Linked DNA regions of Nothobranchius furzeri. The protein of the gene in region 1 purifies or fractionates together with the protein of each later gene. This does not show direct contact. Links are inferred from orthologs where the notes say so. Each region holds a gene or a part of one and is shown on either strand. Other genes may lie near its edges. The genes, in order: usp4 and edc3.

Region 1 (4,294 bases):
CAATCCAAGTTTTGTCTGCCAAATAAATAAACAAAAACATAAACAGCGAATTTGGGAGGCGCTTCACAGCCCAACTTAATTAGTCCGACATGTAGTTGTATATTCACGCTTATGTGCTTAAAGGAAACTCCCGTTTATTGCAACCCGGCCTTAATTTCTAGCATGCAGTACGTTTGTTTACTCACGCTGACAACTTTGGTGCTACTTGGATTCCCCGGGGTATTTACCGTAGGTCCATCACCAAATCGCCGTCAGCGTATATCCATATAACGGGTGCGGACGGGCACCCATGGTGCAGCCTCGAAATAGGACATTATCTGCACCAAAACATCTTCATGTCGAAAGGTTTTGTTAGGAATCATTAACGTGATTCCCCTGTTCGTTTGGAGCGGGTCTGGTCTGGGATTTCTAGGCGTAAACAGACTAGCTGCGGCTAATCTAACCGGCGCTTTTAATGACGTCACTGCCGTGCGCCAGTCTGTTTTTATTAAGATTACCGGTAGATGTACCTTTGTCCTACTGTGGAGAAATTTGTTTTCTCCCTTTATTGACCAACAGAGTTGTTCAAAAGTACAGAACAAAACATATGGCATTACAGCTTATGACAAAAATGCACCTTAAACAGAGTTTAAGCAGCAAAACATCACTCTGCAAATAGTGTATATATAGTGAGACAATTCATGATTTAAAATGTTAACTTTCACCAGTTTTTGTATGCACGTTTTAAAAAATGCTGATACTTTAAAGGTTTAAGCACTTAATACACTTAATTCTTAACATTTAATTTTTGTAATATAATGTGAGGAATGTTATTTTTTGAATAAACTTGTTCGATAAATGGGTGTTTTTAAATAGTATCGAAATCGAGTATCGGTTTTTGTCCAAGTATCGAATCGAGTTTGAAATTTTAGTATCGTGACAATCCTAGTACATACTGTACATAGACTGTACATACTGACTGATGGTTGCTAAAGAGCTGTGTATAAGCTAAGCACATTTAAAGAGAGGTGAATGGAAGGACAATGTGATTAAAAAAAGTGTACAAGCCACACCCTGGAGAGGATTGTGAAACCAAAACCATTAAAAAATGTGTATGTACCCCAGCTTTCAGTCTTATTTGTGACAGAGAAGACACTTCTGGTTCTTTTTGCAAGTCACGTTTGTAGTTGTGGACCCCTAAAAGTAAAGCTCTAGAACCGCCTCTGCTAGAGGGGAATAGGGGATGAAAAGAACACAGCTCGTCCATGTGCTTAGTTTTAGCGCGTTCACGATACCGGCACACTGGCTGCATGATGGCTGAGGGAGGCGGACCCGATTCGGGTAGCGCGGCAGACTCCGACTCGGAGCCGGTAGCCGCACAAATACCTACCCCATCAACGGAAAATCAGAAACAAACTATTGGGTCACTATTGAAAACAACTTTAAAAAGAGGGGACGAATGGTAAGAATCAGCTAAGTTCAACCCTATCTGAGGCTCCTGCGTTAGCTTGCGAGAAACCGGAAGTGCTAACATGCTACAGCTAATAGGCGTATAAAGCAATGAAACAGAAAGCTGTATTGCTAAATAGCAAGCTAATGTAACATGGATTAGCACGCTAGCTGCTAACCAAAGCTCTTCACAATTTCTGTTACATGGAGTGTATCGTTAAGGAATCAGCTATTTTGGCTGGGAGCAGCAGACTAATCACGTAAATAACATGTTGTTGAGTAACACAAAGTTATCTCGTTTTGTAATACGTTATCGGAGCCAACCGATGTGCTAGCTAGAAGGCCCCGTAGTCAGATGATTCGAGTCCAGCCGGCTTGTTGCTCAATCAGGTTCGCTGATATGATATGGCATTTCTTTACTGTCACTCTTTTCACACCGTTTTAAATCTTTAAGAGCATCCAGGCCTGGTTATAACGTAGCTAGGGCATTGAAAAGAGCCCATATTTCACAAATTAAGTATTATCGTGGAAAAATCTATACGTGCCTATAATTAAAGTAAAATAAAAAAAATCAACAACTTCAGTTTAGATAATAAGCTGTGAGATCTAAACTAGGTAACATGTGTGTTCTCTTAGTTAATATAAGGGCATTAACATAGAAAATACAAACGGTTAACTCTTTAGCTCCACGTTTGTTCAGTCACTCAGTTATTAGTAGATGACCTTTCACGATGCTACACTTATCCTGGCTTTAATCAGACACAGTTTAATAAAACCTAACGTGTCAAAGGGAACACAAGACACGGACATACCTGGGACATTACTGAATGAATGAATGTTTGTTACTAGATATCTCTTGAAGCCAATTAACTAAAGGTGATTCTTTAGACGAGATTAAGTAAAACTGGCTTGCTGTTACTATAACTGCCAGGGAATTGTGGTGTTACATAATGTTTTGTGTCTGCAGGAGGCAGTGGTTCTTATCCTTTATCCTGTTCTATATTCATTATCTGATAACTATAGACATTGGTGGTTATTATTTAGGGTAATTCTTGAGGATCGTTGTGTTCATTGTTATTTACGTAATAACAATTCATTCATTTGTCCTAGGTATCTAATAGACAGCCGGTGGTTCAAACAATGGAAAAAGTATGTGGGGTTTGACAGCTGGGATATGTACAATGTTGGAGAACGTAGCCTCTATCCGGGACCAATTGATAACTCTGGACTATTCTCAGGTATTTTATCAAGAGTCCTGTCTTGTTTTATTTTTAATCTTTCCAGCAGCCCCCGTTAAAAGTTGGTGTATTATTTATTTTTGTCTCCTAGACCAGGACACTCAGGCCCTGAAAGAGCACCTTATAGATGAACTAGACTATGTCCTTGTACCCACGGAGGCATGGAACAAGCTTGTCAGCTGGTACAGCTGTCTCGAGGGCCAGAAACCAATCGTCAGGAAGGTAGTCCCATTGAAGAGTTGTCTTCCTCTTTCTGTTTCACCAAGCTTTGCAAGGCGTTGACTGTCTCTGGCCTCTAGGTGGTTGAACATGGCATGTTTGTGAAGCACTGTAAGGTGGAAGTCTATCTGCTGGAGCTCAACCTGTGTGAGAATGACAACATGGACAACGTCATCACGCGCCATTTTAGTAAAGCTGACACCATAGGTAAGAATTACTGTGTGATCTCAAAGTGAACTTAAAGCAGATGCTGACAGCCCTGGTTCATTATACGTGTTTGTTTCCAGATACAATAGAGAAGGAGATGCGGAAGTTGTTTAATATCCCTTCAGAAAAGGAGACTCGACTCTGGAACAAATACATGAGCAACACGTATGAGCAGCTGAATAAGCCAGACAGCACTGTACAGGATGCCGGACTCTTCCAGGGACAGGTAGTTTTAGTTATTCCAATGACCTTAAAGAACACTGATCCACTGAAACAGCACAACCTTTGTAGCATATTAGTACTGTCTGCATAAATTATTCATTCACAGACATAAAATCAGAAAAATGATGGAGCCTAATGCAAAGCAGCTCATTAGCCCTGCAGTGAGACGTGCATTATTGTTTATCTTGTTGAGGAGTAGCTTTGGTTGGGTTGTTAAACGTTTCCTGTGACTTTTTTTATACGTTTGGTAGAGGTAAACAAGAATTGTTTCACTTTTAACTTAAATAGATGCTGAACTTTAGCCTAGTGAACTAGACCAAATTCTTGCTTTGCAAAGATTGGTCTAGGAATGCTCCACTGGAACCTCAGCAGCTCCTACCAGGACTCTGGCTAGCCAATCACAGCTCTCTAGAGGGGGTTCAAGCACATAAAGAGCTGTGATTGGTCCATAATGGTGGGCCAATCATAGTGCTCTATCTGCTTAGTGAACAAATCACAGAGCTTTATCCGCTTTGTGGGCCAATCAGGGCACTCTATGTGCCTGGTGGGTGGGATGATGCAACAGAGTGAAACAAGAGTATGTCACATTCATTGTCCAGTGGAATGCGGAGATCATTTGAAAGACAACGGTAGAACCCGCCCCACAACCGAGAGCCGTCAATGGAGCGTGGCCAGACTAAATAATACATTTATTTAGTCTGGCTTGCCAGGCCAGCTGAACTTGGTAAAAAGAAAGGATCTCATCAGGTTGTTGCCCTTGGTTACCATAAGTCAAGGGTAGGTAACTCCGGTCCTCGAGGGCCACTATCCAGCATGTTTTGTTTTAGCAGCCTTCGAGGACCAGAGGTGCCATAAGTCATTGTAATTCAGATCAGTTCTTGCTGTAGAACTATTGACCCCTTGCACCTGTGTCACCTAATTACGTGGGTCCACCATATCGGTTGGCAAAAGCATGTAAGCAGTGGGCGACACGAGTACTA
Region 2 (4,441 bases), on another chromosome or scaffold:
CACCTTCAGATTTCTCCAACACCGTTAAAAATGATCAAATACGGAACATATCGGCGTGCGCAGGCCAGAGTGCTGAAGCTCGGCGCATTGTTATTATGAAGCTAGGGCACATGCGGAGGACACGCGCGCGCGACGGAACATATCGGCGTGCGCAGGCCAGAGTGCTGAAGCTCGGCGCATTGTTATTATGAAGCTAGGGCATATGTGGAGGACGCGCGCGCGCAAAAATATACTTGTTTTCAATTACATTTATTGGGCCCACTTACTTTTTCTTAGGCCCACCCACAAATGAGTTTCTACAATAATGGTGACATATGACAGACTTCTCTGAGCTCCGCAGCCATTACACTTTTCACCTCGCGCACCCCCTAGCGGCAGCTCGCGCACCCCCAGGGGTGCGTGCACCACACTTTGGAAATCCCTGCTCTAGATGAAGAACCTACAAATTCTGAAAAATCTCAAGCATTGTTTATGCAAGAAGCTGCTGTCACTCAGGATTTGGCACAGAAGCTGACTGACAGCATCAGTGAACTGCAGACAGCTTCAAAAAAAGAGGAAATGCTGCAAGTACTGATTATTTGCTAACTAATAACTGTTTCCATTAAATGTGTTTATGGAATGGTTGTAAACCTTATAAAATACTTGTACTTCAGTAAAACATGTCAAACAATAACAATGAATCCACAAACAAACAAACAAACAAACCTTCTAACACCACAACTAAATCATAAAATATTAAACTCACTGGAACCCTGCTGAAGGGAGTGTGGACACATAAGTGCCAACCACACCCACATGTTTTGGACATGCAACAGAATAAAACCATTTTAGGATCAAAAATCTATTGAAATGACAAAATTATTTGGATATAAAATACCCCAAAATGAGATGATTTTAATGTTTTGTAACTTAACTGAGAATGTGGTCAAGAGAAAGGACTATCTCTGTAAAATTTTGTTAATTGCTGGTAAAAAAACAATAACCAGAACCACCAACCCTGGAACAGTGAGAGGAGACAGTGAACAATATACGATGGAACGGATCACTTTTTAGTTGAGACTGAGGGGAGAACTCTTTTTTTTAATGGGGAAAAATGGACCTCCTATCTTCAAGGGACATAGGATGCTAAAGGTAAAAATATAACTGGTTATAGGATAGAATTGGCAAAGCCCCAAGCAACTGTTTTATATTCACCCATACATTTTATTGTCATTTTTTCAATTTTGCCCTATATGGTTCTCCTTCTTTTCTTTAGTTTGTTTTTCTACCAACACAGATTTTTGTTGTATATGTTGATTAAATAAGAAAGACAAATAAATAAAAAGTAAAAAAAAAAAAAAGAAAAGAAAAAAAAGAGGAAATGCTGCAAGTATTGATTATTTGCTAACTGATAACTATTTCCATTAAACGTGTGGAATGGAATGGTTGTAAACCTTATAAAATACTTGTACTTCAGTAAAACATGTAAAAAAATAACAAAGAATCCACAACAAACAAAAACTCACTCACTCACTCACTCACTCACTTTCAGTTAAAGACTTTTGACTAAACGTTTTTACCAGCCAGATATAAAAGTTCCGTCTTATTTTGAAAAGCTCAGTCTACCGGAAACAGGAAGGCGAATAGCAGTAGCTGTTCTAAAGCTAAAACGCTAACTTCTCCGAGAGCAATTTTCTTAGCTTTTACTACCCGCTGTTTCATTTTTATTATCAAGAGGGGTCTACTTTATCTTAATTCCCTAAAGGTACGGTGATAGTTGAAGGTATTTTACGTTTCAGCACGTAAATTGGCTCTGCGTAGCTTAATAACAGGCCGGAATAATAAGCAGTCGACACATTTCGTAGGCCTAAAAATGAACAATTAATATTTGTGGTTCTCTTAGGTCACAAGTTAACGTGCTGCTGTAACAAGTGTGACAACTTTTAACTTTTTGCAGATAATGGCTGCGGACTGGTTAGGTAGTTTAGTGTCCATTAATTGTGGCCCAACGCTTGGGGTGTATCAAGGAGAAGTATCATCAGTGGACCAGTCAAGCCAAACCATCTCTCTAAGGCAGCCTTTTCACAACGGAGTCAAATGTCCAGTTCCCGAGGTCACATTCAGGTAAACACGGGTCTTTTCCACTGTTAGTAACTTTGTGTGATTTGCAGTTTCTAGTAACTATTGATACAATAGTTTGATTGTTTTTCCAGTGCCATTGATATAAGGGAGCTAAAGATTTTAGACATCAGAAGTGGTAATGCAAGGAGAACCTCTACTACAGCTACAAACGTGCACAGTGTTCCGGTGGCAGTCCCAAAGGGTGACCCCAGAGCTGTTGAGAAATTAAACTCTCCCCAGCAATGCTCTAAAAGTTACGGAGAGCGTCATCTAGATGCTCTGGGCCAACCCAAAGGGTTTCGTCGAAGACATAACTCATGTAAGGGCCATTTGTTCGGCGATCAAATAACTAAACAAAAAATCAATTTCTGTGGCATGATACTAATGGTTGAAGTTTTTCTAATCTCACCAGGGTCATCTAGTAGTCGAGGACCAAACCAAGCAACACCTAAAAAGAATGGAGTGAAGAACGGTCAGATGAAGCACAGAGACGATGAGTGTTTTGGGGACGGCATGGAGGATGACCTGGACACGGATTTTGACTTCGAAGGGAATCTTGCCCTTTTTGACAAAGCAGCAGTTTTCTCAGAGATTGACACATCAGAGCGGCGTAACGGGGCACGGTCACGGGGCACTCCTCAAGACCAGACACCCTCACGGTACCGCCATGATGAGAACATATTGGAGGGCAAACCAGTCGTTTACAGACAGATTATTGTACCTCAGCCTGGGGCCAAAGAGTACTGTACTGGTATGTGCTTAACATTGTAAATGGTATTATATGATAGTGTTTGGGTTTAAACTGGTTGACACCTTTCTCTATTACTTTCTACAGATTCTGGACTTGTTGTACCAAGTATTTCCTATGAACTCCACAAGCGGCTGTTGTCTGCTGCTGAGCGTCACGGCCTCTCACTGGAGCGAAGACTTGAGATGACTGGAGTGTGTGCCAGTCAGATGGCACTTACACTGTTAGGAGGGCCCAACAGGTAAATGTGTAAAGATGAAGACTAACTTCTAAATCACCTTAGAAATAAGGAAAGTTTTGAGTCAATTTCAGCACTTAAATTATTCGAGTAACTTAAATGAGCTAATTACAGATACTTCATTGGTTGTCATGACTGTGGTTTCCTCTGTGTCGACATGTTTAATTGGGACTGACATGCTGAGGCAGCCCGAAAAGTGGCTTCACTTTTTAATAATGGAGAAAAGCAAAGATTTTTTTATGCATGACTAAGGCCGACTCTGGTATAAATGATGGATGAAACAGACCAAACGGTTTTGGATCAATCAATCAATCAATACTTTATTAATCCCAGAGGTAAATTAGAGTTTCAGTATGCACAATTCAGAGATCAGACATACAGGTTGGTAGGTCGGGTTTTCACAGCATCTGTCTGCATTCCTTCATGGGGGTTTTTAGTTGCTTGCAGTTCAAGGCTACCAGGGCGTCAGATTCGGATAACAAGAATTTGTTTGGGTCAGGCTGATATAATTTTCCTCTTTGCCTTCAGTCTTTTAAACTGATCATTCCAGTCCTTCAGTGAAGCCAATTTTGGGTTTTTAAGCTTGTCCATACCGTCTGGTAACTCTCCGAGATGACGTCCATTTTGCACACTAATACCGGTATCGCAGCTAGAACATTGTCCAGCTTATGATTCACCTCGAGTAACGTCCCAGTCTGAGAAGTCTCCACACGTACGGTGCTTTCCGTGGGTGCAGGTCACCCTCCAACCGCTCCCGTCTTCCCAAATTTCCAGAAAACCAGATATCCTCCCACTCCAATCAGGAGAAATCCAGTGATCATCAGGCCGAATATCCACACGTCTTCGATATCCTCAATCGACAGCTGGGAGAGGCATATGATCTTCCACTCCTTCCGGGAATCCAACATATATCCCACTGGGTGTGTCCCCTGTGGACATGTGGGAGCCCCCCTACTCCGTTCTCAATGTTGAAAAAATCTTATCGATCGCATTGAATGACCAATTTATCAAATCCATGGTTAGTTAACAGTTTTTCAGAAGAAATGCAGAGAAGCGCTCTGTGGGCAGACAGGACAAAGAGCCTTGGGGAAAAAAAGATAAGGGAGCAAAAGAGGGAAGCGTCTGTACTCCTCGAGTGCCTGAAGAATCAGACATAAAGAAGATCAAACATAAAAAAGCATCAAACTTTTGAGTAAAAGATTGGGAACAACCTGCGTGATGCATGTAGCTGCAGCACTAGTCGCTTGTGTACCCTTTTGTTTTTGTTTCCTCAGGTATGTTCTGAGGTGTAGTTTCCAATGTTTCCTCTTTTCGATGTTAATGCAGGTTATTTAAAGAATTTTCGTTAGACAATT

What was found.
Region 2: the proteins of usp4 (region 1) and edc3 purify together in Homo sapiens (co-immunoprecipitation; 3 studies listed by BioGRID and IntAct, with this or other methods). This does not show direct contact. The link is inferred for Nothobranchius furzeri from reciprocal best matches to the Homo sapiens genes USP4 and EDC3.

What each region holds. Positions count from the first base shown.
Region 1 is NC_091743.1:47,676,689-47,680,982, reverse strand, and holds the start of usp4 (ubiquitin carboxyl-terminal hydrolase 4), read left to right. Parts: upstream 1-1,249; 5' UTR 1,250-1,289; coding exon 1,290-1,441; intron 1,442-2,538; coding exon 2,539-2,666; intron 2,667-2,757; coding exon 2,758-2,888; intron 2,889-2,965; coding exon 2,966-3,092; intron 3,093-3,172; coding exon 3,173-3,318; intron 3,319-4,294.
Region 2 is NC_091744.1:58,994,366-58,998,806, reverse strand, and holds the start of edc3 (enhancer of mRNA-decapping protein 3), read left to right. Parts: upstream 1-1,603; 5' UTR 1,604-1,744; intron 1,745-1,936; 5' UTR 1,937-1,939; coding exon 1,940-2,103; intron 2,104-2,175; coding exon of another isoform or gene 2,176-2,192; coding exon 2,193-2,419; intron 2,420-2,512; coding exon 2,513-2,851; intron 2,852-2,935; coding exon 2,936-3,089; intron 3,090-4,441. UniProt on the Homo sapiens protein: Binds single-stranded RNA. Involved in the process of mRNA degradation and in the positive regulation of mRNA decapping. May play a role in spermiogenesis and oogenesis.